Linked DNA regions of Anolis sagrei. The protein of the gene in region 4 purifies or fractionates together with the protein of the main gene of each other region. This does not show direct contact. Links are inferred from orthologs where the notes say so. Each region holds a gene or a part of one and is shown on either strand. Other genes may lie near its edges.

Region 1 (7,124 bases), on a different chromosome or scaffold from region 4:
ACTTGAATCATTTCCACAAAATATGTAACCCAGGGCCTTTCCACATATCTATAGGGAGAAAATCCCACAGAATTCCCGGAAGAGCCCCCATAATCTGAGCCCACACTGCCATATAATCCAATTCAAAGCAGATCATGTGGGCTGTGGAAGGGGCCCCATAAATAAACAAAAGTCCTGGGAAGGCTTTCCCATCCCATCCCATCCCATCCATCCTCCTTTCCCACCCAATCTATGCATAGCAATGACCCCTTTTTTTTCCTTGAAAGCAAATTCTTAAAACTTACTGGAGTCCTAAATATTAAAACAACAGGGCTGGCTTTCATTTCTGTATCCTTCCTTTCTCTTGTGTGTGTGTGTGTGTGTTTTCCAGGCCACGTTTTTTGTTTGCCCTGGAACCAGGCTCCACTCACTCTCTCTCCTACACACACCCTGACCCCCTCCCCCTACAAACCCACCATTGTGTGCTCTTTACAAATGTTGAAAATTATGAATGGTTCCTTGAACCAAGAGAGGAGGGGGAAACAGAGAGAGAGGAGGGAGGAGGAATGGGGGTGGGTGGGTGGATTCTGTATGGTAATCCTAGGGCTGCCTTGCCTGCTGACCATGCCCAGTGCTGCTCCCCTTCCCCTTTAAGGAAACAGCACAAAAACCCACCATTAACTAAATTTAAAAAGACAGGAGGAGGGGGAAGGGTTAGGGTCTGGAATGGGGAGAGGGAGGGGGGAGAGAGGCCGCTCTGTCCGGAGGAGCACGCTTTCCTCTGCCCTCCCACTTTCTTTCTTTCTTTCTTTCCTTCTAATCCCCCTCCAACCGGCCTCCACCCCTTTTGTCCTTCGATTCATAACGTCGTGGAGGCATCACATTCACCAAGGCTCACCAACGCGCCAGAAATATCACTATGCAGGAAAAGGAGGGGAGGAAAAGGAGGGGTGGCAAGGGGGAGTGGGAGGGAACGGTTTCAAGGAGACCCTTCCCTTCTTCTTCTTTTTTCCCCCGGCCTCAACAAGACCCCGGCTTGCTTTTTTTTTATTTTTGTCTCCTCCTTTTCTTTCCTTAAGCAAGGAGCCAATGGCCAGCAAGAAAGCCAAGCCAGCCACCCAACATTGAAATAAAGAGCAGACCAAACGCACATGGATGGGATGCTTTGGAAATCATCATAATAATCTATATAAATAAAAATGTAATGTTCGTTTGTGGGGTTAACATAACTCAAAAACCACTGGACGAATTGACACCAAATTGGGCCACAAGATATCTACTAATCCAAGGAGTGATCATCACTAAAAAAAATTATTTTTTTTCATTTGGGAGTTGTAGTTACTTTGATTTATAGTACACCTTCAATCAAAGAGCATTCTGAACTCCACCAATGATGGAATTGAACCAGATGTGGTACACAGGACTCCCATGACCAACAGAAAACTCTAGAAGGGTTTGGTGGGCATTGACCTTGAGTTTGGGAGTTGTAGTTCTCTTACATCCAGAGAGCACTCTGGACCAAACTTGGCACGAATATTCCATATGCCCAAATATGAACACAGATGGAGTTTGTGGGAAATAGACCTTGACATTTGGGAGTTGTAGTTACTGGGATTCACCTACAATCAAAGAGCATGCTGAACTCCACCAACGACAAAATTGGAGCAAACTTCCCACACAGAACCTTCATACTTAAGGCCATCCAGTCCAACTCCCTTCAACAAGGCAATGTAATCAAAGCCCTCCTGACAAAGAGCCATCCAGTCATAGATATAGATAGATATGATTCACACAGAGATATAGTATCATAGATTTGAAAGGCACTCCTAAAGAAGGACAATTATATGTTGCATGTTCCAGGGTGAGCAAACCAGACAATCTCCACATCAACACTGACAAAGAAACAGCAAGAAATGCTGTTTACACACAAGCATAAATAAATTACATATATTAGAAACCAACACTTTCTAATTACTTTGTTTTCCAGATCACCAGACTGGAACCCGTGGCAGGGGACCGCTAGTAATCTATATAAATAAAAATATAATGTTCGTTTGTGGGATTAACATAACTCAAAAACCACTGGACGAGTTGACACCAAATTTGGACACAAGACACCTATCAGGCCAACAAGTGACCATCACTCATAAAAACACTGAAAAACACAGCAGAAGAGACTTTAAAAGCCAAAAATTTTAAAAATACATTATAACCCATGCGGAAAACCACATATATAAAAATACACACACACACATATATATATACACACACAAAACACATATACAAAGACTGGGCCACAGCAAGGCATGGCAGGGATGGCTAGTATATCCTGAAAACTGGAATGCCTCAAAGAATAATATACCCCCCACTCTCTATCCAAAACAGGTTGGGTTGCTGTAAGTTTTTAGGGCTGTATGACCATGTTCCAATTCTGGAACATGGCCATACAGGCTAAAAAACTTACAATAATCCAGTGATTCTGGCCATGAAAGCCTTTGACAATACACAAAACAGGTCGCCTTTTAGACCTCCTGTAGAATTCTGGGGTTTGTAGTATAGGAAGGCTGTTAAAGCCCCCCGCCCTCAAACTACAAACCTTAGACCTCTACAGGAGACCACAGCTGGATTTAAAGTGGAATTGTTCTCTAGTGCAGTGGTTCTCAACCTGTGGGTCCCCAGGTGTTTTGGCCTACAACTCCCAGAAATCCCAGCCAGTTTACCAGCTGTTAGGATTTCTGGGTCTAGTGTGATGAGGTCCTAAGAGTTGTTTTTTTTACGGGTTGCTGTGATTTTTCCAGGCTGTATATAGCCATGTTTCCAGAAGCATTCTCTCCTGACATTTCACCCATATCTATGGCAGGCATCCTAAAAGGTTGTGAGGTTTGTTTGAAACTAGGCAAGCGAGGTTTGTATATCTCTGGAAAATCCAGGGTGGTATAAAGAACTTTTGTCTGGGTTGCTGTGAGTTTTCTGGGCTGTATGGCTATGTTCCCAGAAGCATTCTCTCCTGATATTTCACCCAAATCTATGGCAAGTATGCTCAGAGGGGGAGTCCACAACATACGAGCAAACCACAGATCACTTACTACAATGCAGCCTGAGCTCTGCCAAATGCAGAATGGAGGACCTTCTTGTAACCAGAATTCTGCAGGAGGGAGCAATTTAAGGTGGATTCATTCTTTACTGTGATGAGGTCCTTATAAGTACTTCATCACACTAGAGAATGAATCCACTTTAAATGGGGTTTCTGCCTCCTGCAGATTTCTGGGGTTTGTAGTTTAGGGAGGCTATTAAAGGTGCTTCCCTAAACTACAAACTCCAGAATTCTGCAGGAGGCAGCGGCCCCATTTAAAGCGGGATTCATTCTCTAGTGTGAGGAGGTCACACTAGAGAATAAATCCACTTTAAATCGGGTTTCTGCCTCCTGCAGATTTCTGGGGATTGTAATTTAGGGAGGCTATTAAAGGCTCCTTCCTAAACTACAAACCCCAGAATTCAGCAGGAGGCAGATTTAAGGTGGATTCATTCTCTAGTGTGATAGGGTTCCAAATCTCATTTGGTCGCCTTGGGGGTTTGCGATTTGGTGTGCTCTTCCCGGGCTTCTCTTTCCAAATTCCTCCCCGTGAGGGGACCAGATAACGAAGTGATTCTCCTCGAAGCCCATCGATTCTCCTCGAAGACCCCACGCCCCGATCCGCGCGAGGAAGGCTGGAAAACGTGGAGAGCCGCGGCGCCGCTTTTTACGCACGGGAGAGAAAGAGGCGCGCCAAAACGCCTGCGCGTCAAAGTGGAGATATATATAGATCTGTCTCTCTCTGTGTGTGTATGTATTAAGCAACCCAACCCGGAAAGTAGTAAACAGGGGGAGGGGAGAGAGAGAGAGAAAAAAAAGGAAAGAAAAAGAAACTTCTCCAGGACAGCTGAAAAAAAAAAAAGGCACAACGCAGCCTCTCCTTTTCCTCTTCCTTTCCTCTCTCCTCCTTTGTGAGTCGCGCTCTCTTAATTGAGGCGTTGGGATTCCTCGCGTGAGAAGTTGATTTGTAGTTTGAACACGTGGCCTCATTCAAAAAAAAAAAAAAAAAAGAGCCGGAATATTCAAGCGATTTCTCTCTCTCTCTCTTTTCCCCCTCCCTCCCTCCCTCTCTCTCTACTCTTTGGAGAGAGGCGGTGCCTTGCGATGCGCGCATTGTAACATTTCCATACTCCGCCTGCTTTGGCCACCAAAGAGAGAGAGACACACACACTCACATACAAAAGGAGAAGGAAACAAGGCAAAGAAAAAGTACTTTCCCTTCTTTATTTATTTATCTACTCCTTTCCTTCCCTAATTCCCATTATTTCCCCTCATTCCCAGTATCTCTTTGGATATGTTGCCTTTTTGCAAAGTGGGTGTGTAAGTAAGAGAGAGAGAGAGAGAGGAAGGGAGGAAAGGAAGGAGGGAAAGAGGGAGGGGTGGGGACGGATATAAGCCGCAGTTGTGATCCTTTCCTCCTTTTTTTGTTGGGTTTTTTGGGGGGAAAGCCCTCCCTCTTTGGCTTTTTATTTTATTTTATTGCATCCTTTGGAAGGATATTGTTTTGTTGTCTCTTCTGCTGCTGTTTTCCCAAGTAGTGGTGCTTCTCTTCCTCTTGTGTGTTTTGTTATTTTTTTCCACCCCTAAATTATTAAGCCAGGATCTAATTTTTTTTGTGTATTGATCCTTCACCCAAGAAGATGAACAAGCTGTACATCGGGAACCTGGGCGAGAACGTGAGCCCGCAAGACCTGGAAAGTCTCTTCAAAGAGTCCAAGATCCCTTTCACCGGCCAGTTCCTCGTCAAGACGGGCTACGCGTTTGTGGACTGCCCCGACGAGAACTGGGCCATGAAGGCCATCGAGGCACTTTCAGGTGGGTCCAACACCCCCTCTCAATACCCTCCTCCCCCTCCAAATGCCTCCCTCTTTTCCCCATTTCCCTGCTTTCCCCGTGCGCCATCCTCTCTCTCTCTCTCTTCCTTCTCCATCGCCGCGTGGTCGCCTTCTCTCTTCTCTCCATTCCCATTTTGGAGACGCGCGCTACCTCTCTCTCTCTCCAAAAAGGGACCCCTTTCCCCAGTTTTCTCCCAGTCTCTAAAAGACCTTATTTAGGATGGGGAGGGTCCGAAGCGGACCTGAAAGGGCCCCCTCTTCTCCTCCTCTTTGCCCCCCCAACAAGGAAAGGCGCAAAAAGAGAACCCCCCCTTTTTTGTTTTGTTTTGGTGGTGCCACAAGAAGGCCCAAAGCCAGGGCGCATTACGCACACATCTCTCCCCCAAGACTCCCCTTCTGCATCTCTCCAGGCTTCAGGAATAAGAGGATAGGGAACGAGGTGGGGGGTGGGGGTTAAGGAAGCCCCACTCTGTCGGAGAAGGGAGAGATGGCGAGACAGAAACGCGTGGAAAGGGCCCAAAGCTGTTGGGTGGGAAGGGACACACACACACTCTCTCTGGCTTCTTCTCCATGCGCGCTCTCGCCTTTCTCTCCGCCCCGGACAAAGGTGGCTTGGGGCGCCCAGGAAGGGCAGGTGGTTAGGAAAGCAAGCAAAGAAAGGAATATATATACAAATTCTCTCTCTCTCTCTCTCTCCCTCTCCCTCTCCCTCTCCCCCTCTCTCTCTCTCTCTCTCTCTCTCTCTCTCACTCACACACACACACAGAGTGGAGTCTCCTCTCCCCCCCCCCCCCGGTGCTGCAAAGCCCACCAACACGGTGGAGTTTTATTAAAATAGATTTGTGTTGGTGTGAGTTTTGCAAGCTGTATGGCCATGCTCCAGAAGCATTCTCTCCTGACATTTCGCCTGCATCTATGGCAGGCATCCTCATAGGTTGTGAGGTCTGTTGGAAACTTCCACACAGTCCTATAACCCAGAATATTAAAGCAGAGAATCCCTCGGTATCTGCTTTGAACTGGATTATCTGATGCCCCTTCCACACAACCCTTTACCCCAGAATATCAAGGCAGAAAATCTCACAATATCTGTTTTGAACTGGGTTATCTGAGTCCACACTCAGATGATGTGGGATTCTCTCCCTTGATATTCAGGGATAAAGGGCTTTATGGAAGGGCCCTGGGTTGCTGTGAGTTTTCCGGGCTGTATGGCTATGTTCCAGAAGCATTCTCTCTTGATGTTTCGCCCGCATCTATGACAGGCATCCTCAGAGGTTGTGAGGTCTGTTGGAAACTTCCACACAGCCCTATATCCCAGAATATCAAAACCCCTCGATATCTGCTTTGAACTGGGTTATCTGTGTCCACAGTGCCATATATTCATTTGCTTTGTATGCTCAAAGCAGATAATGTTGGATGTTCTGTCTTGATATTCTGGGAGATAGGGCCCTAGGTTGGTGTGAGATTTGCAAGCTGTACGGCCATGCTCCTGAAGCATTCTCTCCTGAAGGTTTGTCTGCATCTATGGCAGGCATCCTCAGAGGTTGTGAGGTCTGTTGGAAACAAGGCAAGTGAGGTTTGCATATCACAGTGCCATATATTCCGGTTCAAAGCAGATAATGTCAGATTTTCTGTCTTGATATTCTGAGAGATAAGGCCCTAGATTGCTGTGAGTTTTCTGAGCTGTATGGCCATGCGCCAGAAGCATTCTCTTCTGACATTTCACCTGCATCTATGGCAGACATCCTCAGAGGTTGTGAGGTTTCTTGGAAGCTAGGAAAAATGAGGTTTAAATAATGGAATTATGTCCAGGGTGGGAGAAAGAACTCTTGTCTGTTTGAGGCAAGTGTGAATGTTGTAGTTGGCCACCTTCCACTTCATCACACTAGAGAATGAATCCACTTTAAAATCCTGTTTCTGCTTCCTGCAGAATTTTGGGGTTTATAGTTTGGTGAGGGTGTTTAAAGCTCATCCCTAAACAACAAACCCCAGAATTCTGCAAGAGGCAGAAACCGGGTATAAAGTGGATTCATTCTCTAGTGTGATGAGGCCCCCTGATTAGCATTGAATGGCCTTGCAGTTTTAAGGTCTGGCAGATTGCTGCCTGGGGGGATCCTTTGTTGGGAGGTGATTAGCTGACCCTAATTGATTTTTGACTGGACTTCCCCTGCTTTTTGAGTGTTGCTCTTTAGAGTGTTTTTAAAACTGGTGGCCAGATTTTGTTCATTTTCATGTTTTTG
Region 2 (7,475 bases), about 60 Mb from region 4:
CACTTTGTTATTGACCTTAAGATTGGCAGGCATCCCAGTGTGTGGCCAACAATTGGGGGGGGGGAGCCCTCGATGGCGCAGTGGATTAAACCCTTGTGCCGGTAGGACTGAAGGCCGACAGGTCGCAGGTTCAAATCTGGGGAGAGTGCGGATGAGCTCCCTCTATCAGCTCCAGCTCGTCATGCGGGGACATCAGAGAAGCCTCCCATAAGGATGATAAAACATCAAAACATCCGGGCGTCCCCTGGGCAACATCCTTGCAGACGGCCAATTATCTCACACCAGAAGCAACTTACAATTTCTCAAGTCGCTCCTGACACGACAAAAAACAAAACAAAACACGGGGGTGTTCCTTATTGCTGGGCCAGTAGCAGCCAAGTGAAATGCTATGAGAGGTTCTCAGCGCTGGCTGATTTTTACTCTAGGCTATCCATTGCTGTTATGTGATCCCTCGTTGTCAGAGTAGGACAGTCTTCCAAAATCAGTGTATTGGTGGGTCCATAGGTGACTGTGGAGCCCTATTCTTGATCTGCATCTTCTCCCGCAGTGAGGGCATAAGTTTCCAGGTGGAATGAGGTCCCGGTCAGGGTTGGCTTGATGTGCCTTCCTCATGGCATGTTTCTCTCTTTTGCCCTCCATTCATGCCTCTTCAAATTCTACAGCACTGCTGGTCACAGCTGACCTCTAGCTGGAGTGCTCAAGGGCCAGGGCTTCCCAGTTCTCAGTGACTATGCCAGAGTTTTTAAGGTTGGCTTTGAATCTCTTTAAATCTCTTTTTCTGTCCACCAACATTCTGTTTTCCGTTCTTGAGTTCGGAGTAGAGCAATTGCTTTGGGAAATGGTGGTCTGGCATCCAAACAATGTGGCCGGTCCAGCGGAGTTGATGGTGGAGGACCATCGCTTCAATGCTGGTGGTCTTTGCTTCTTCCAGCACGCACTCATTTGCTATCTGACCATTGTTACCATATTACGAACTGGAAGAGCAGGGCTGTAGCAAAAATTAATGGGGAGGGGTGGCTCTTACAGGCCCGGGTGGCTGTAGTGTTCCTCCACTAGAGTACTCTTCCAACTGGCCCTCATTTTCATAGCTTATTATTAAGTTATTATTCCTGTTATTTGCCATTTTGGTCACGTGCTGATATTGCTTGGTCTATGACGGGTCCACAAACTTTTTAAACAGAGGGCCAGGTCACAATCCCTCAAACTGTTGGAGGGCCGGATTATAATTTGAAAAAAACATGAATGAATTCCTATGCACATTACACATATCTTATCTGGAGTGCAAAAAACACTTTAAAACAATACAATAATTAAAATGTGGACAAGATACTTGGAGGAATGAGACCCACCACGTCCATCCTAGACCCCTGCCCATCCTGGCTTCTTAAGGAGGCCAGAGGGGGATTGGCCGAGTGGGTAACGGTGGTGGTTAATGCCTCCCTTCGGGAGGGCAAGATTCCAGCGAGCCTAAAACAGGCTGTTATAAAGCCGCTGTTGAAGAAACCATCACTTGACCCCACTAAATTGGACAACTTTCGGCCTGTTTCCAATCTCCCCTTTTTGGGCAAAGTCATGGAAAGCGTGGTGGCCTCACAACTCCAGGTATTCTTGGGAGACACGGATTATCTGGATCCGGCACAGTCTGGTTTCAGACCGGGACATGGTACCGAGACGGTCTTGGTCGCCTTAGTGGATGATCTGCGCCGGGAGCTAGACAGGGGGAGTGTGTCCCTGTTGGTGCTCCTGGACCTCTCAGCGGCCTTCGATACCGTCGACCACGGTATTCTTCTGGGGCGCCTTGCAGGGATGGGTCTTGGGGGCACTGCTCTGCAGTGGCTCCGGTCATTCCTGGAGGGTCGTACTCAGAAGGTGTTATTGGGGGACTCCTGTTCAACGCCGCAGCCGTTGACCTGTGGCGTTCCTCAGGGATCCATCTTGTCCCCCTTGCTGTTTAACATCTACATGAAGCCGCTGGGTGAGATCATCCGGAGTTTCGGGGTGCGGTGTCACCTGTACGCAGATGACGTCCAACTCTGTCACTCCTTCCCACCTGCTACTAAGGAGGCCGTCGAAGTCCTGAACCGGTGCCTGGCCGCTGTAATGGTCTGGATGAGGGCGAACAAACTGAAATTAAATCCAGACAAGACAGAGGTACTCCTGGTCAGTCGCAAGGCCGAACAGGGTATAGGGTTACAGCCTGTGCTGGACGGGGTCGCACTCCCCTTGAAGGCGCAGGTTCGCAGCTTGGGTGTGACCCTGGACTCATCGCTGAGCCTGGAGCCCCAGGTTTCAGCGGTGACCAGGGGAGCATTTGCACAGCTTAGGCTCGTGCGCCAGCTGCGCCCGTATCTTGGGAAGTCTGACTTGGCCACGGTGGTACACGCTTTGGTCACATCCCGCCTCGACTACTGCAACGCTCTCTACGTGGGGCTGCCCTTGAAGACGGCCCGGAAGCTTCAGCTAGTCCAGCGCGCGGCAGCCATGTTGTTAACGGGAGCTGGACGCAGAGAGCATACAACGCCTCTGCTGTCCCAACTCCACTGGCTGCCGATCTGCTACCGGGCCCAATTTAAGGTGCTGGTGTTATCCTACAAAGCCCTAAACGGTTCCGGCCCAAAATACCTTGCAGACCGCATCTCGGCCTACGAGCCCACGAGGGCCTTGAGATCATCCGGGGAGGCCCTTCTCTCGGTCCCGCCCGCCTCACAGGCACGTCTGGCGGGGACGAGGGAGCGGGCCTTCTTGGTGGTGGCCCCCCGACTGTGGAACACTCTCCCTGCTGAAGTTAGACAGGCGCCCTCCTTGATGGCCTTCCGTAGGGGCCTAAAAACATGGCTCTTCGAGCAGGCCTTCAATTGAGTGTAGTTAAATTGACACTGGAATGAATTAGGACTACGAATTTCGGCTATGACCCCAGGACTTGACGAAGCGGATTTTTAGTATAAGTATATGTTATGTTGTATTTGTCTGGTTTGTATCGTCTTGACTCACTGTACACTGTCTTCTTTGTTGTTGTTCACCGCCCCGAGTCGCCCCCGGGCTGAGAGGGGCGGTCAATAAATGCAAGAAATAAATAAATAAATAAATAAATAAAATGAAGAACAGTTTTAATAAATATAAGCTTATTAGTATTTCAATGGGAAGTGTGGGCCTGCTTTTGGCTGATGAAATAGGGTTGTTGTTGTTGTTGTTGTGTGCTTTCAAGTCATTTCAGACTTAGGTTGACCCTGAGTGAGGGCCGGGTAAATGACCACAAAGGGCCGCATCCAGCCCCCGGGCCTTAGTTTGAGGACCCCTGGTCTATGACATGTTGGTGGGCATGTGCATATGTTACCTAAATACCCTAAGGCACTGGATCCCATTAGATCTTGGTAGCTAAGCAGGGTCATCTTTGGTGATGGGAGGCGACCAGTGCCTTGAATGCACATACATGAACATATGTGCATGCTGCCACAAGAAAACCCCTCAAGGTCCAGTGTATACAAGGTTCACTCAAATCCAGGGGACTCCTTGGCTCGTTTGTTCTCAAATACAGTGCACTCTCAGTTAACCAGAACGCAGGCAAACGGTGGTACTCACGAGTAAACAGCAAAAGAGAAATCGAAGGAATAATTCTTTGAATAAAAATTAAAATAAAATCAGATTAGCAGAAACGTGTAAACTTGGCATGCCTGTTGCAATTCGACGCTTGTTAGTAAAGTTCATTAAGTTGAGAAGTTTTTTGACTGCCATTTAACTAAAATTGCGTGCTGGAGTCACAAAGCTGTTTGCACAATAGGTGTTAAAACTGTCTTAGTTTGCTTTAAATTTCTGTATTTGATGCAATACCAAATCAATACAGAGTGTATGGTATGGCACAGCATGGGACATAGTATTAATGTGGATTATAATGAGTTCCAGGCACTCATTCGGTGATTGAAGAGACTACCCAGAGCAAGGCGAGGACGCGCACGCAGCCTCTCCCGCTGCTCGGAAGCGGCAGAATATTTTCAACGCCTTTCCCTTTAAGAAACGCCACTCCGTCTCCTGTCAATCACGGGATAACACCTTTGGCAATTGGGCCCGGCGACCGGCGCTCGTCTTCAGCCCGCCTCTCCTCGCACGGGGTTTCCAGTCCTCGATTCCTAGGGTTCCCACTGTGCAGCGCACCTATCCTTGGCGGGCAGCGTGGCCACGCCCCCGCGGGTTCTCACTCCTAATAACGCGGGGAGCGTCGTCTCATTGGTGTTTGCCAGATCCGTCGACTCCTGACTCTGCCTTAATAGGTCTGCGCTCCACACCTATTGGCTAGAACACCTGTCTGTCAGAGAAACCGGCTTCACGTTATCCGCAGCCAGATTCGTCGATCCAGTTGCCTTTCCGAACGCGGCCTGCCCCTTCTTCCTCCAGCTGGCCTATCAGCTTCCGAGCTGGGGAGAGGGCCGGCTTCTGACTGGTTGCGAGCGTGCCACAGGGTTAGGTTACGCGCGAGGTATATTTAGCCGGCGGTAGAGCACGCTGTTGCGTGAGGTGCTTCCCGTCTCCTTCGGCTCGCCCGCTTGTCTGCCTCGCACGGAGTGAAACCTCCTCCTTCTCGCCGCCCATCTCCGCCTCGCCCGCAGGTTGGTGCGAGAGGGGGAAAGCCGTTGGGTCACGTCCTTCACGAGCCGGCGAGCGGCGCGCCTTTGTCGTCACCGTCGCCATAGACACGCGGGCTCCGCGCGGCCTTTCCTGACTGGGGGGCGCCGGGCGAAACCATTACACATTGGGGGAGAGGGGGGTTGACGAGCACATTGAGTGGGCCTTTGGCTCTGGCGTTGAGGAGGCGATGCTCCCCCTTCCCCCCTCGGCAGCGAGGGAAGAGGTTCTGCCCGGGATAAGGGGTGGCAGAGCGGCCAAAAAAGGAGCGGGCCGCGTTGCGTATCTGAAGCCGCGCCGTTACTAAGCGAGCTGAGGTCTATTAACAGGAATTCGTGAGGCCCAAGAGGAGAGTTCCATTCAGGATTCTGGAAAGGGGGTGGCGGGAGTGACTGAGGATCCCAATCTGGCCCAGATCGAGTGCTTCCCCCCCCTCCTCGAGGACCTCTGAATAGCGGAGGGCCCGAATCGTGACTGAAAACCTGGAAGGGCCTGGCTTGTGGGCTCCTCTCGCGCCTTTGGGGGAAACCGCCCCGCCAAAGGCTTCCTAAAAAGGGGCGGAAATCGGGGGAGGTGTAACAGACGCCTCGCCTCCCCCTTCCAACCATTCACCTTAACAGAAACCGCTGCAATCCGGAGGACAATAGTGGCGAGGGAAGGAAACCTTGGCAAAGGAGGCAGGGCCGCAAAGCGGGTTCATTGCCGCCTCGTTGTGTGAGAGCGGCAAGCTTTTGTCCCTTCCCTTGGGCGGTCCAGCGTTGGCTTCTTTTCTTTCGTTGGCCTCGGATTGTACCCAATGTCGGGGTTTCCTTGGCTTTGTTCTAGCAGTATAGCCAGCAGAAAATCAAACCCTTTTGCTTCAGAGATGGATTGTTAGTATTTTAAAATACAGAATAGATCCCCGCAAAACTAGACCAAAGCGTGTCTGTACCAGTGAGGACATTTGTCAAGGTCAGGCTTAGCAGTAATAAGAGGTCGATGCACATATTTTCTATCTTTTCCTTAACTAAGTTGGACACTTGAGTACCCTTGGAAAGATTGTTCAGTGTGTGTGTTAGTTTGAGCATGAAAATCTGTAGTGAAATTGGTGTTCATCACACGCAGATATATATACTTACACCGTGTCAGGTGGCAGCATCATAATCTACTGCAGGGTATTTGTAGCAAGGGGCAGTGCTTCCAGTCTGTGCTATTTTTATCCTCTTTTTTTCACAGGCATGGCACAAGGTTAGGAACTGCAGGCAGACCTACTGAAGTTTGCAGATAGGTGTTCCCTATTCTGTGAACTGCTACTTTAGGGTCATGTGAAAGGCTGTGGTCAATCATCGATGGAAGAGTCATGCTATTTAGTTAAAGAGCTTTATATATGTGTGTATTTCTTTAAAATGGAGGATATCTTATGTTTAAATTATATTGAAGTTCTTTGAGAAGTGTAGTGTTAAAGATTGACATGATAGTGCATTGTTTGTCTCTTCTAAGCACTTTACAGGCTTGTATTGTGTTTTAATATTGAGCCCTTAACAGTGATTGAATTGTCTTTTGCTTGCATATAAGCAAAGTGGATGGGGTTATAATAAACATCATCTGGACCAGTTATATTATTTTTGCTGTCCATACTTTCTAGCATTTCTCAGAGTAAGAAATGCCTATAGTTGGAACTCTGTTTTTATAAAGGGAATACTACAATCTTGTTTCTCATTAATTTATTGAAAATAAAAATAAAGTATGTGATCAGAAGGAATTAAGAAAATAAAGATGGTTAATTGTGTATTTTCCCTTATGATGTAGTTTCACTTATGATGTAGATTCAGGAGCACCTCATGAGTTACATAGGACTATTTTCACTTGGAATTCTCACCTCCTCCCTTCCCAGAAACTGAAAAAGCACATGGATAATATAAAAAAGTTAAGGAACAAAGAGCACTTTCTACAAAGCTGCATGTGGTCAAGCAGTCCTCTAGAAATACTCATTTTTTGTCATTATTGTTTGGACAAAGTCATATTTAAGTGAGCTCTACAGCACTATACTTTTCCAGTATTGGGATTCCTATAGCTTAGACTCCCACTCCCCCAGTAGCTCATATTAATAGAATATGACAATTGTAGTATAACAATACCTTTGGAATGGTTAATTCAAACTTAAGTGAATCTTGAATTTTTAAGAACGGTGGAATGTAGTGATTAAAAGTCATATTAGGCATTTATTAATTGGCTTGGAATTATTTTTCCTCTTGGTACAGAAGATGTATGCTTTCAAATTTTTGATGCTGCAGAGTTGCTCAGTATAATGTATTTTTCAGTTGCAACTTTTGAGGCTTCCTTTCCCTCAGTGAGTTCTTATGTAATTAGTGGAAATATAATGTAATAGCAATCCCATAAAGGTCAGAGCTCAGGGGTCAGTCTGTGGCAGAGGAGCCACAACTTTCCAGCCCCTGCCAGATGTATGTCAGTGCAGAATGAGCTGTGTGTGTGTGTGTGTGTGTGTGTGTATATATATAGAGCAATTTTCACTCTCTTCTTGCCTTTTTCCTCCATTAGTTTCAACAGGAAGTAAAATGACAGCTTATTTCCAGCCAATACAGCATTTATGTATCCATTTTGATCATGTGCCCCAGAAATGAAGATACTGGATGCAGAGCTTTCCTGGATTAGTCCTGCAGTACTCCTCCCTCACTATTAATTTATATTCTACCTTACTCCCAATAATAAAACTGAAAGTGGCTAACATATTTAAAACGATAAAGATTAAAAACCATATAGAGACTGTAAAGAAAAGTATTACTCGGTTATTTAAAAACAGTCAAACAATTTTTATTTAAAGCATTGGAATTCAAAAAATGCATAAAATGCAACACACA
Region 3 (7,018 bases), on a different chromosome or scaffold from region 4:
CAGAGCCAACCTTCAGAAATGGGGCTACAGGGTGGAATCAACGGCATGCGAGTGCGAAGAAGAACAAACCACTGAGCACCTGCTGCAATGCACCCTGAGCCCTGCCACATGCACAATGGAGGACCTTCTTGCGGTAACACCAGAGGCACTCCAAGTGGCCAGATACTGGTCAAAGGACATTTAACCAACTACCAAATTTGCAAAATCTGTGTTTTTGTTTTTTTTTTTTCTTCTCTTTTTAATCTGTGTGTTTGCTTTGCTCTGTTAGAATTGTAATACAATGGTATGGTTGCTGATGACACGATAAATAAATAAATAAATAAATAGGCCTAAATCTCAAAATGTAGGTGAGGACTGAAGTTGTCTTTTCAATAAGGTTCTGCCTTCACTTTGTGGTCAAGCAAGGACCATATATATTATGTAATCTATATATCAATATATAGTATTATATGTTTGTTTGTATTTTTCAAGAAACCCCCAACTTTCAGAGAGCACTGGAACTCCCACCAACAATGGATCTGGACCAAACTTGGCACACAGACCCACCACCCCCATAACCACCAGAACATACTGGAGGGGTTTGGTGGGATGGGCCCTAGATTATGTGAGTTATAGTTTACCAACATCCAGAGGCCACTCTGAAGCCGGTTTGGGGAAGGTGGGGGCTAACCTTGAATTCTGGAAGTTGCAGTTCACCTACAATCTGAGAGCACTCTGAATCTACACGATGATGGATCTGGACCAAACTTGGCACACATACCCAATATGCCCAACTCTGAATATATATTCATATAATAAATACGCATCTTGATTTAAAAACCAAGGAGTCTGCATTTTTCATTTGGGATGAAGAAGGTATCTACTACTGCATCCCATCCATGATGATGATGATGATGATGATTATTATTATTATTATTATTTCCGTTACTTTTACCCCGCCCTTCTCACCCCCAAGGGGGGACTCTGGGCGGCTTAGAGGAAGGCACAATTCGATGCCTTTGTCACATATACATACATATATAAAAGCAATTAAACAGTTACAAATTAAAATTAAAACCATCAATACAATAGAATACAATAACACAATAGTAAACTAATCCTGAGCTCAGCGTTTGGAGTTCCGTAAATCCATTCCGTCAAATTCTAGCTCATCATCAAGTCTTTCTTTGGCTGCCAGAATGTCCAAATGCCTGGTCCCATATCCAGGTTTTCAACTTTTTCCTAAATGAAAGAAGGGAAGTTGCCGATCTAATCTTTGTATCGTGAATGTTCTTTAAACTATGGGCAGCTCTCTCTCTCTCTCTCAAGGGAGTTGTAAAAACAGGTTCCAAGCTCCATCTACACTACCATATAATAATTTGAAACTGGATTATATGGTCAGTGTAGATTAATGTAATGTAGTTAAGCTAATAGAAATAAACAGATGGATGTGTCTTGAGTGTCCTCTCCAACTCAGTAGAGGAAGCAAATGGATGTCCTAAAATGGATGTCAGGATGGTGCCTTTCTGCCCAGAAGAAGGGGGTCAGTCTAGATGTTCCTTGATGAGGTCTGTACTATGATTTCTGTTCTCCCCCAATTTAACACAGTTTGTGCCACACAAAGTTTCTGGAGTAGAACAACTACTTTCAAAGTAAAAAACACACAATTAAACAGGAAATAACACTTTCAAACCAGGAACAGATTTTCTTTATTATTAATTTTTTAAATAAAAACTTTGAAAATTCACCAAAAATCCATGGATAAGTCAAAGGTTATGAAATTTGGTGAGCTAACAGTGGTCCATGTGTTCTACCGCTGTCGCAAGTTTCATCAGGGTTGGTCTAAAAATGAGGGAGAATAGAGAATCCCCCGAAGTTTCACCAGTGCTATTTTTCCCTACTGTGTATGCACATCTGCATTAACAAATCGATTCAGAAGTTTCAGAAGTTTCGGAAAGTTCCAACTTCTCCCCCCAGAAAAATTCAGAAATGTGTTTAGAATTGAACCACCAGCACTCTTTACATCCTAAACGAGTTTTGAACATTTTTTAAATCAACCAAACCTAGTGTCCAGGGATGCATAGTCTGCAAATCTGCTGTAGCAGTGTTCATGCAGAGCATGTCTAGTAATGGTGAGAGTGCTGATCCCTGATGCACACCAACAGTGATAGTGAAAGGTGGTGAAATCTCTGCAGGGCAGCAGACCATACTTGTTCTTAACTTTTAATATGTTTGAAGGAGCTGGGCATGTTTAGCCTGAAGAAGAGAAGGCTGAGAGAAGATATGATAGCCATGTAGAAATATGTGAGAGGAAGCCACAGGGAGGAGGGAGCAAGCTTGTTTTCTGCTTCCCTGGAAACTAGGACGCGGAACAATGGCTTCAAACTACAAGAAAGGAGATTCCATCTGAACATGAGGAAGAACTTCCTGACTGTGAGAGCCGTTCAGCAGTGGAACTCTCTGCCCCGGCATGTGGTGGAGGCTCCTTCTTTGGAAGCTTTTAAAAAGAGGCTGGATGGCCATCTGTCAGGGGTGCTTTGAATGCAATATTCCTGCTTCTTGGCAGGGGGTTGGACTGGATGGCCCATGAGGTCTCTTTCAACTCTAGGTTTCTATGATTCTATGGATTTTAACTGAATGCTTAAAAATACTGTCTGTGTTTAATTCTGTTTCAATGTTTGTATATTTATATATTTTAAATTGGATACCAATGATTTTATGTCAAGCTGCTTTGAGTCCCCTTTGGGGAGATAAAAGTGGGATATAAATATTATTATTTTACTGACACAAAAACACAGTATGTCACAGCAAATGAGATATAGATGCTGTATTTCGTATCACAAAATCACAAGTCGAACACTTCCCAAGCGTCTAGGACTGTATGGTGTATTTTCGAATGATGCGTGCGGATCCAAGCAAGGTGGCCTTTTGCAGTTGACATATTGTGATTTTTGTCAGTGTTTATTGTTTATAAATGCTGGATGAGCTCTTCCGGAGATACTTCTGGATTGGCACGGCACCCAGTAGCTTCATCCATGTTAGATAGTCTTCTGGTATTCCATGTGACCATAGTGCTCACCAGATCAAGTCATGGGGAATCTAATCAAATGCTTTTTCACGTTCAAGGAATGGTATGTAATGTGTTAGGTTGTTAACTGTTTTTATACTGTAGCACTGAATTTTTGCTGTTCGTATTTGTTGTGAACCGCTGTGAGTCGCCTTCGGGCTGAGAACAGCGGTATATAAGTAAGGTAAATAAATAAATAAATAAAAATTATTATATTATGTTTAGGGCGGGATATAAATAGTATTATTATTATTATATGTACAATATTAGCATGGCTTGCTAGCAATTCACTCTCAACAAGAGATTCCCCCCAGGCGCTTCCAGGCCATTGAATGCAAATCAAGGTGATCAGCTGAAACATTACCCTGGTCATTCCAAAGATATATAAACCCATTTTTCCTACTTCCAACAGACCTCACTACCTCTGAGGATGCTTGCCATAGATGCAGGCGAAACGTCAGGAGAAAAATTGCCTCCAGAACATGGCCATATAGCCCGGAAAAACCTACAACAACCCAGTGATCCCGGCCATGAAAGCCTTCGACAATACCTTGCTAGCAATGTTTACGAAAGAACCTACAGGGAACCGGAAGTGGAGCGTGCACGAAGCTCTCTTCCAATGAACTCTTGAGAGAAGAGAATGGCCGGCTTCGAGGTTTTTTTGGGCGGACTTCAACTCCCAAGCGCCTCAGAAGCTTGTCTAGGCGGCAGGAATTGTGGGAGCTGAAGTCCCAAAAACCTGGCGGCCCTAACGGAGGACGTTACAATGGCCTTTCCTTTCCCGGAAGCGTAAGCATAGAGAGGATAAACAAAAGAAGGACGCCAAAGCCGGACTTCCGTTTGGCCCATCACTTCAAAAGCGTGCTCCTCGCGCACCAGATGTGGCGGCTTTAGCCCCGCCCACTCCTGGCGGCTATTGGGGACCTTTTCGCAGGCGCGCGCGCGCTTTCGGCCTCGCGCTCTCCCGGCGGGGAGCGAGAGAGCCACTTCCGGTTCCGCCCGGACTCCGTCTGAGGGAAGGAAGGAAGGAGGGAGGGACGCGCAGCCCCAGTCGCTCCTCCCCGTGCCTTCGGCCGGGAGCGAACCGGATCCCGAGACCGCGGAGAGCGCCTAGGTGGGTAACGGGGCACGGGCGGATGGGGAGCCTCCTGGGCCCGCGCTTTGCCTCCTGGCGGGGCTTTTTTCTCGCCCCTCAGAGAAAGGACGTGGCGGAGGAGGGAGGAGGGGGGATGCTGCTGCTGCTGTCAACAGCAGTTAATTGCACAGAGCTGCATTATGTGGGTCTACGCTGACCATATCATGCAGTTCCAAACTGCATTGTATTGCAATGTAGATGGGCCCCCTTCAACCCCGCCTCCTAATACGCAGTAAACGTTGGCCTCGAATCAGTGTATTCGCCTTACAACTACCATGTAAGGCAGGTCAGTACTGAGGAGTTTGCAGAAAAGCCGAGGTTTATTTCTTTTCACCATTCTTTCACCAATAATAGTAATAATAGTACTAGTAATAGTTTTATTTCTTATTGTGATATAATAATACTATTACATATAATATTAATGTATTGTCGAAGGCTTTTTGTGATATAATAATACTATTACATATAATATTAATGTTTTAATGTAATCTATCTATATATAAATAAAAATGTAATTTCGTTTGTGGGATTAACAGAACTCAGAAACCACTGGATGAATTAACACCAAATTTGAACACTAATCAGGCCAACGAGTGACCATCACTCATAAAAACACTGAAAAACACAGAAGAGACTTAAAAAGCCAAAACGGCTCGGAAACTCCAATTGATCCAGCGGGCAGCAGCCAGAATGTTAACTGGGGCCCATTACAGAGAGAGGTCAACCCTCCTGTTTAAGGAGCTCCACTGGCTGCCGTTTGTTTTCCGAGCCCAATTTAAGGTGCAGGTGCTTACCTACAAAGCCCTGAACAGTTTGGGACCACCCTACCTGCGTGACCGCATCGTTGTCTACGAACCCACACGCTCACTCCGGTCATCTGGAGAGGCCCTGCTCGTGATCCCGCCCGTGTCACAAGCGCGTCTGGTGGGGACACGGGACAGGGCCTTCTCCGTGGTGGCCCCCCGCCTCTGGAACACCCTCCCGAAAGACCTCAGACAAGCCCCTACACTGGCAGTCTTCAGAAAGAATTTGAAAACCTGGCTGTTCAAATGTGCCTTCTCAGACTAGGAACCCTATATGCCTTCTCTGGCTAGAAACCCCAGTTCCAAATCCCAGAAGCACTTTAGTCAGAATCAAGACCACCGCACACTGCACACCACATTTATATTATAATCCCATATCCCTCCGACACATCAGCACTTTTAATCCTGTACCCCTATTCCGGCCGGCTCAATTTTTAATAATGTCTTGCTGTATTGCTATTGTATTTGTTTTTCTGCTTAATTGTCTTATTTGCTATGTATTGTATTGTTGTATTGTGTGGGCTTCGGCCTGTTGTAAGCCGCACCAAATCCTTCGGGAGATGCTAGCGGGGTACAAATAAAGTTATAATAATAATAATAATAATAATAATAATAAAACAACAACAACATTACAACGCATGCACAAACACACATGTATACACATATACACAAATATATATACAGACACATCTATATAAATAAAAATGTAATGTTCCTTTGTGGGATTAACATAACTCAAAAACCATTGGGCAAATTAACACCAAATTTGAACACTAATCAGGCCAACAAGTGACCATCACTCATAAAAACACTGAAAAACCACAGAAGAGACTTAAAAAGCAAAAAAAAAAAACCAACAAAAACATTACAATGCATGCACAAACACATATGTATACACATACACACAAATATATATACAGATACATCTATATAAATAAAAATGTAATGTTTGTTTATAGGATTCACATACTCAAAAACCACTGGATGAATTGACACCAAATTTGGACACAATACACCTTATCAGGCCAACGAGTGACCATTACTCATAAAAACATGGAAAAACACAGCAAAAGAGACTTAAAAAGCCAAAACACAAAAAGATAAATTACAACACATGTACAAAACACACATATACACAAATATATACACCCATATATATACACACAAAACACATATACACAGACTGAGCCACAGCAACGCGTGGCAGGGGACAACTAGTTTTATATATATACCTCGACTTATTATATAATACAATATATAATAGTATAATATACTGCGCATGTGTTGTGGTACGAAAATATAGTACAATACAATATATAATTATATAATAATGAGATATAATCTATATAAATAAAAATGTAATGTTCATTTGTGGGATTAACATAACTCAAAAAATGCTGGGCGAATTGACACCAAATTTGGACACAATACACCTCTCAGGCCAACGAGTGACCATCACTCATAAAAACACTGAAAAACACAGCAAAAGAGACTTAAAAAGAAAAAAAAATTAAAATGCATTACAACACATTCGCAAAACCACATATATAAACAAACAGGCATATATACACATATATATAAATATATACACACATATATACCCGTACAAAATACATATACACAGACTGGGCCACAGCAACACGTGGCAAGGGATGGCTAGTCTATATAAATAAAAATGTAATGTTCATTTGTGGGGTGATCATAACAAAAACCACTGGATGAATTAACACCAAATTTGAACACGAATCAGACCAACGAGTGACCATCACTCATAAAAACACTGAAAAACACAGAAGAGACTATGAGGAGCAGCTTAAGGAGCTGGGCATGTTTAGACCACACCTGGAATATTGTGTCCAATTCTGGGCACCACAATTCAAGAGAGATATTGACAAGCTGGAATGTGTCCAGAGGAGGGAGACTAAAATGATCAAGGGTCTGGAGAACAAGCCCTATGAGGAGCGGCTTAAGGAGCTGGGCATGTTTAGCCTGAAGAAGAGAAGGCTGAGAGGAGATAGGATAGTCATGTGTAAA
Region 4 (6,955 bases):
AAATAATGCCCAGCTGGGAAGGATATTAGAGGCCAAGATGAAGTACTTTGGCCACATCAAGAGAAGACAGGAAAGCTTAGAGAAGACAATGATGCTGGGGAAAATGGAAGGAAAAAGGAAAAGGGGCCGACCAAGGGCAAGATGGATGGATGGTATCTTTGAAAGGACTGGCTTGACCTTGAAGGAGCTGGGGGTGGTGACAGCAGACAGAAAGAGTTGGAAGCAACTGAAAAAATAAACAACAAAATGTGCTTTCAAGTTGATTGGCAATTCTAAGACAATCACAACATGGGGTGTTCTTGGCAATATTTCTTCAGAAAACGCTTGCCACTGTTTTTCTCCAAGTCTGTGTGGCCTGCCCAAGGTCACCAACTGGGCTTACATGGCCAAACAAGGATTCGAACTCTGGTCTTCCAGAATCCTAGTCCAACACCCAAACCAAAACACTGTGCTGGCTCTTTTCATGGACGTAATTTGTCACCAATAGCTAACAATGATCTGAATGGGTTGCTGTAAGTTTTCTGGGCTGTATGGCCATGTTCCAGAAGCATTTTCTCCTGATGTTTCACCCACATCTATGGCAGGCATCCTCAGAACAAAACATTACAACCTCAAAGGATGCCTGCCATAGGTGTGGGCAAAACATCAGGAGAGAATGCTTCCGGAACATGGCCATACAGCCTGGGAAATTGACAGCAACGCCGTGAATTCAGCTATGAAAACCTTCGACAGCACAATGATTTGATTGCTAGGCTGTAGGATACTAAGGAATGAAAGCCAATGTAGTAGAATGTTGTTTTGCAAGATCTTTAGCTTTCTCTGCCACAGGATGGCTCACCAAACTACAAATCCAAAGATTCAACAGCACTGAGCCCTGGAAGTGGTGTCAAACTGCAATAATTCCACAGTGAAGATGCGCCCTAGGCCTCTGGAAACTACTTAACCATATTGCAAACCATGGGAGAACTTGGATCAATCATATTCTCTCAATCTCTGAGAAAGCCAATGGCAAAGCTTTTCTGAACAAATCCTGCCAACAAAAATCTGCAATAGGGTGGTTATATGCTGCAAATGATATAAAGGCACACAACAACTACACACAAGGATACCAAGGACCAGTCCCAAGACATACTGCTCTGTGGGGCAAAAGACAAGATAAGCAACCCTAGCCACCTTGAGTGGCTGTATCAGGAGAAAGACAAGATAACAATACAGCAAATGAAAATTGAAGAAAAAAATACTTGTTCACCCCATAAAAATCTAATACAATTGTGCAATCTGGGCCTGCAGTTCTTGCAACATGTCTAAGTGGGGCCTTTCACAAAATCTGGGGTGCATCGCTGATTCCCAAACTCTAGTCCTCCAGGTGTTTTGGACTCCCAGAAGCCTCAACAGCTCTGACCAATGATCAGGGAATCCAGGAACTGATGTTCAAAAGACCTGAAGAACGAGTTTAGGAAAGACCGAATTAACACACATTGACACCCCTTGAACTGCCCTGGCTCGAGGCTATGGAAACCTGGGAATTGCAGCTTCCCAAGGCCTTTAGCCCTCTCTGTCAAGAGTGCTGGGGCCTCAACAATCTAGGATTCGACAGCATTGAGCCATCAAAGTTCAAGTAGAGTTACACTACATTCGTTCTACAGTGTAGGCCAAACTTTGCCCCTCCAAAATCAGGCATGGGCAAATTTCAGCCTTTTGGACTTCAGAACACACTACATTCATTCTACAGTGTAGGCCAAACTTTGCTCCTCCAAAATCAGGCATGGGCAAATTTCAGCCCACGGGTGTTTTGGACTTCAGAAATTCCACCCAGTTTATCAGTTGTTAGGAATTATAAGAGTTGGAAGTCCAAAACACCTGGAGGGTTGAAGTTCACCCATGCCTGCTCCAGGTGTTTGTGACTTCAACTCCCAGCATTTAAACTAGAATAAAATTTCAGAATGCAGTTTAACTGCATTGAACTGGATTATTTTATTCTACACTACCATAGAACCCAGTTCAATGCAGTCAATGTGCATTCTGAAACTGGATTTGATGACAGTGTAGACCAGGCACGGGCACACTTGGGCCGTCCAGGTGTTTTGGACTTCAACTCCCACAATTCCTAGCAGCCTCAGGCCCTTTCCTTTTACCCCTCAGCCACTTACGGCTGAGGGGGAAAAGGAAAGGGCCTTAGGCTGCTAGGAATTGTGGGAGTTGAAGTCCAAAACACCTGGACGGCCCAAGTGTGCCCATACCTGTGATAGCTTCTTCATCTCCAAGCTTTGCTGCATGAGGCCACCGCCTCACCTCCTTCTCCTCCTTGGCCTGGGCCAAGGGGACGGTGTCGCAGGCCTTGTGGGTGACCAAGCAGAAGCAGCAGATGCACCTGCCGTGGTCCTGGCAGTGGAACTCGAGGAGCTTGCCGTGGTCGGGGCACTTCCTGCTGTGGAGGTCCCTCACGGGGGGCACCAGGTGGTGGCCCTTGAAGGCCGGGCTCTCCAGGTGAGGCCGGAGGTGCTCCTGGCAGAAGGAGGCCATACAGCTGAGGCAGGTCTGGGCCGCTTGGGCCCCAAAGCAGCTGTCGCAAGGCACAGGACTCTCCTGGGGGAGCTTCTTCTCCGCCGCTTTGGGGCCCGGGTCTTCCTTGAGGGGCTCCTTCCCAAACTGCTCCACCACTCGGCACAGCACTGTGTTCTTCCTCAACTCAGGGCGGCTGTGGAAGTGGGTCCTGCATTGGGGGCAGCTGAAGCCCTCGCCTGAGGCCTTCCCGGGGCCCCAGGTCATTTCCAAGCAGGGCAGGCAGAAGTTGTGCCCGCAGGGGGTGGTCACTGGGCTCTCGAAGAGGCAGAGGCAGATGGAGCAGGTCAGCTCCTCTTCCAGGCCGAAGAGGACCGGCAGAGAGGGCGCCCTGGCCACCTCAGCCATGGCTGGAAGCAGAGTGAAGCGAAAGCAAGCCGAGGAGGCTCTTAAGCACTGCCAGCGGAGAAGCGAAACTCAGGAGGAACCACTTATTGGAAGTCACGTGACGCAGAGAAGCCCAGCCAGAATACACACACACAGCATGAGCAACACCCTCCCCTCTCTCTCCGTTTAGTGACCCACGGAAAGAGAAACGCCCGCTCTTTCTCTTTCTCTTTCCCCCGCTCTCCTTTCCATTCAGGGCTGGGGAGTTAACGCACTTCGACACCACTTTAATAGCTCAAGGCTATGGCGGGCTAGCCTGTGTGTGTGTATATATATATCACATCGCTGTATATCTATATAATACTAGCTTTACCCACCACGCGTTGCTGTGGCCAACCTTCTCTCCCTCTTTCTCTCCTTCTTTCACTCCTTCCTTCATTTCCTTTTCTTCTTTCCTTTCTTCCTTCTCTACCTGTTTACTTCCTTCCTTAGCTTTTTGCTCCCATCCTTCCTTCTCTTTATTTCTTTCCTTCCCTCCCTCTTTCTCTCCTTCTTTCTCTTCTTCCTTTGCTCCGTCTTTCCTCCCTTTCCTTTTTCTTTCCTTCTCTCCTCCTTCTTTCTCTTCCTCTTTCCTTCCTCCTCCCTTTTTATTTTCCTTCCTCTTCCTCTTTCTTCCCTCTCTATCTCTTTCCTTCCTTCCTTCGCTCTTGACTTCCAGACTTCCTTTTCTTTCTTTCTTTTCTTCCCTCCCTTTCTCTTCTTCCTTTGCTTTTTTCCCTCTTCCCCTTCCCAAATTCCCCTTCCTTCCTTCCTTCCTTCCTTTTGACACCTTCCCTTCCCCTTCCCTTTCTTCTTTTTTTCTATCTTTCTTTCATTTCCTCCTTCCTTCCTTTCTCCCTTCTTTCCCATCCTCCTTCTCTCTCTGTATTCTTTCTTTCCTACCTTTCTTCTTTCATATACCTTCTCAACTTCCCTCCCTCCCTCCCTCCCTCCCTCCCTTCCTTCCTTCCTTCCTTTTGACACCTTCCCTTCCCCTTCCCTTTCTTCTTTTTTTCTATCTTTCTTTCATTTCCTCCTTCCTTCCTTTCTCCCTTCTTTCCCATCCTCCTTCTCTCTCTGTATTCTTTCTTTCCTACCTTTCTTCTTTCATATACCTTCTCAACTTCCCTCCCTCCCTCCCTCCCTCCCTCCCTTCCTTCCTTCCTTCCTTCCTTTTGACACCTTCCCTTCCCCTTCCCTTTCTTCTTTTTTTCTATCTTTCTTTCATTTCCTCCTTCCTTCCTTTCTCCCTTCTTTCCCATCCTCCTTCTCTCTCTGTATTCTTTCTTTCCTACCTTTCTTCTTTCATATACCTTCTCAACTTCCCTCCCTCCCTCCCTCCCTCCCTTCCTTCCTTCCTTCCTTTTGACACCTTCCCTTCCCCTTCCCTTTCTTCTTTTTTTCTATCTTTCTTTCATTTCCTCCTTCCTTCCTTTCTCCCTTCTTTCCCATCCTCCTTCTCTCTCTGTATTCTTTCTTTCCTACCTTTCTTCTTTCATATACCTTCTCAACTTCCCTCCCTCCCTCCCTCCCTTCCTTCCTTCCTTCCTTTTGACACCTTCCCTTCCCCTTCCCTTTCTTCTTTTTTTCTATCTTTCTTTCATTTCCTCCTTCCTTCCTTTCTCCCTTCTTTCCCATCCTCCTTCTCTCTCTGTATTCTTTCTTTCCTACCTTTCTTCTTTCATATACCTTCTCAACTTCCCTCCCTCCCTCCCTCCCTCCCTCCCTTCCTTCCTTCCTTCCTTTTGACACCTTCCCTTCCCCTTCCCTTTCTTCTTTTTTTCTATCTTTCTTTCATTTCCTCCTTCCTTCCTTTCTCCCTTCTTTCCCATCCTCCTTCTCTCTCTGTATTCTTTCTTTCCTACCTTTCTTCTTTCATATACCTTCTCAACTTCCCTCCCTCCCTCCCTCCCTCCCTTCCTTCCTTCCTTCCTTCCTTTTGACACCTTCCCTTCCCCTTCCCTTTCTTCTTTTTTTCTATCTTTCTTTCATTTCCTCCTTCCTTCCTTTCTCCCTTCTTTCCCATCCTCCTTCTCTCTCTGTATTCTTTCTTTCCTACCTTTCTTCTTTCATATACCTTCTCAACTTCCCTCCCTCCCTCCCTCCCTCCCTTCCTTCCTTCCTTCCTTTTGACACCTTCCCTTCCCCTTCCCTTTCTTCTTTTTTTCTATCTTTCTTTCATTTCCTCCTTCCTTCCTTTCTCCCTTCTTTCCCATCCTCCTTCTCTCTCTGTATTCTTTCTTTCCTACCTTTCTTCTTTCATATACCTTCTCAACTTCCCTCCCTCCCTCCCTCCCTCCCTCCCTCCCTTCCTTCCTTCCTTCCTTTTGACACCTTCCCTTCCCCTTCCCTTTCTTCTTTTTTTCTATCTTTCTTTCATTTCCTCCTTCCTTCCTTTCTCCCTTCTTTCCCATCCTCCTTCTCTCTCTGTATTCTTTCTTTCCTACCTTTCTTCTTTCATATACCTTCTCAACTTCCCTCCCTCCCTCCCTCCCTCCCTCCCTCCCTTCCTTCCTTCCTTCCTTCCTTTTGACACCTTCCCTTCCCCTTCCCTTTCTTCTTTTTTTCTATCTTTCTTTCATTTCCTCCTTCCTTCCTTTCTCCCTTCTTTCCCATCCTCCTTCTCTCTCTGTATTCTTTCTTTCCTACCTTTCTTCTTTCATATACCTTCTCAACTTCCCTCCCTCCCTCCCTCCCTCCCTCCCTTCCTTCCTTCCTTCCTTCCTTTTGACACCTTCCCTTCCCCTTCCCTTTCTTCTTTTTTCTATCTTTCTTTCATTTCCTCCTTCCTTCCTTTCTCCCTTCTTTCCCATCCTCCTTCTCTCTCTGTATTCTTTCTTTCCTACCTTTCTTCTTTCATATACCTTCTCAACTTCCCTCCCTCCCTCCCTCCCTCCCTCCCTCCCTCCCTTCCTTCCTTCCTTCCTTTTGACACCTTCCCTTCCCCTTCCCTTTCTTCTTTTTTTCTATCTTTCTTTCATTTCCTCCTTCCTTCCTTTCTCCCTTCTTTCCCATCCTCCTTCTCTCTCTGTATTCTTTCTTTCCTACCTTTCTTCTTTCATATACCTTCTCAACTTCCCTCCCTCCCTCCCTCCCTCCCTCCCTCCCTTCCTTCCTTCCTTCCTTCCTTTTGACACCTTCCCTTCCCCTTCCCTTTCTTCTTTTTTTCTATCTTTCTTTCATTTCCTCCTTCCTTCCTTTCTCCCTTCTTTCCCATCCTCCTTCTCTCTCTGTATTCTTTCTTTCCTACCTTTCTTCTTTCATATACCTTCTCAACTTCCCTCCCTCCCTCCCTCCCTCCCTTCCTTCCTTCCTTCCTTTTGACACCTTCCCTTCCCCTTCCCTTTCTTCTTTTTTTCTATCTTTCTTTCATTTCCTCCTTCCTTCCTTTCTCCCTTCTTTCCCATCCTCCTTCTCTCTCTGTATTCTTTCTTTCCTACCTTTCTTCTTTCATATACCTTCTCAACTTCCCTCCCTCCCTCCCTCCCTCCCTTCCTTCCTTCCTTCCTTTTGACACCTTCCCTTCCCCTTCCCTTTCTTCTTTTTTTCTATCTTTCTTTCATTTCCTCCTTCCTTCCTTTCTCCCTTCTTTCCCATCCTCCTTCTCTCTCTGTATTCTTTCTTTCCTACCTTTCTTCTTTCATATACCTTCTCAACTTCCCTCCCTCCCTCCCTCCCTCCCTCCCTCCCTCCCTTCCTTCCTTCCTTCCTTTTGACACCTTCCCTTCCCCTTCCCTTTCTTCTTTTTTTCTATCTTTCTTTCATTTCCTCCTTCCTTCCTTTCTCCCTTCTTTCCCATCCTCCTTCTCTCTCTGTATTCTTTCTTTCCTACCTTTCTTCTTTCATATACCTTCTCAACTTCCCTCCCTCCCTCCCTCCCTCCCTCCCTTCCTTCCTTCCTTCCTTTTGACACCTTCCCTTCCCCTTCCCTTTCTTCTTTTTTTCTATCTTTCTTTCATTTCCTCCTTCCTTCCTTTCTCCCTTCTTTCCCATCCTCCTTCTCTCTCTGTATTCTTTCTTTCCTACC

Evidence for each region.
Region 1: the proteins of TRIM25 (region 4) and IGF2BP3 purify together in Homo sapiens (affinity purification with western blotting; 3 studies listed by BioGRID, with this or other methods). This does not show direct contact. The link is inferred for Anolis sagrei from reciprocal best matches to the Homo sapiens genes TRIM25 and IGF2BP3.
Region 2: the proteins of TRIM25 (region 4) and G3BP1 purify together in Homo sapiens (affinity purification with mass spectrometry; 4 studies listed by BioGRID and IntAct, with this or other methods). This does not show direct contact. The link is inferred for Anolis sagrei from reciprocal best matches to the Homo sapiens genes TRIM25 and G3BP1.
Region 3: the proteins of TRIM25 (region 4) and G3BP2 purify together in Homo sapiens (affinity purification with mass spectrometry; 4 studies listed by BioGRID and IntAct, counting the BioPlex papers as one, with this or other methods). This does not show direct contact. The link is inferred for Anolis sagrei from reciprocal best matches to the Homo sapiens genes TRIM25 and G3BP2.

Annotation. Positions count from the first base shown.
Region 1 is NC_090026.1:93,000,259-93,007,382, forward strand, and holds the start of IGF2BP3 (insulin-like growth factor 2 mRNA-binding protein 3), read left to right. Parts: upstream 1-4,115; 5' UTR 4,116-4,261; intron 4,262-4,689; exon of another isoform or gene 4,690-4,692; coding exon 4,693-4,867; intron 4,868-7,124. UniProt on the Homo sapiens protein: RNA-binding factor that may recruit target transcripts to cytoplasmic protein-RNA complexes (mRNPs). This transcript 'caging' into mRNPs allows mRNA transport and transient storage.
Region 2 is NC_090022.1:84,248,912-84,256,386, reverse strand, and holds the start of G3BP1 (ras GTPase-activating protein-binding protein 1), read left to right. Parts: upstream 1-4,458; 5' UTR 4,459-4,601; intron 4,602-7,475. UniProt on the Homo sapiens protein: Protein involved in various processes, such as stress granule formation and innate immunity. Plays an essential role in stress granule formation.
Region 3 is NC_090026.1:55,185,285-55,192,302, reverse strand, and holds the start of G3BP2 (ras GTPase-activating protein-binding protein 2), read left to right. Parts: upstream 1-4,006; 5' UTR 4,007-4,160; intron 4,161-7,018.
Region 4 is NC_090022.1:144,128,832-144,135,786, forward strand, and holds the start of TRIM25 (E3 ubiquitin/ISG15 ligase TRIM25), read right to left. Parts: upstream 3,015-6,955; 5' UTR 2,911-3,014; coding exon 2,293-2,910; intron 1-2,292.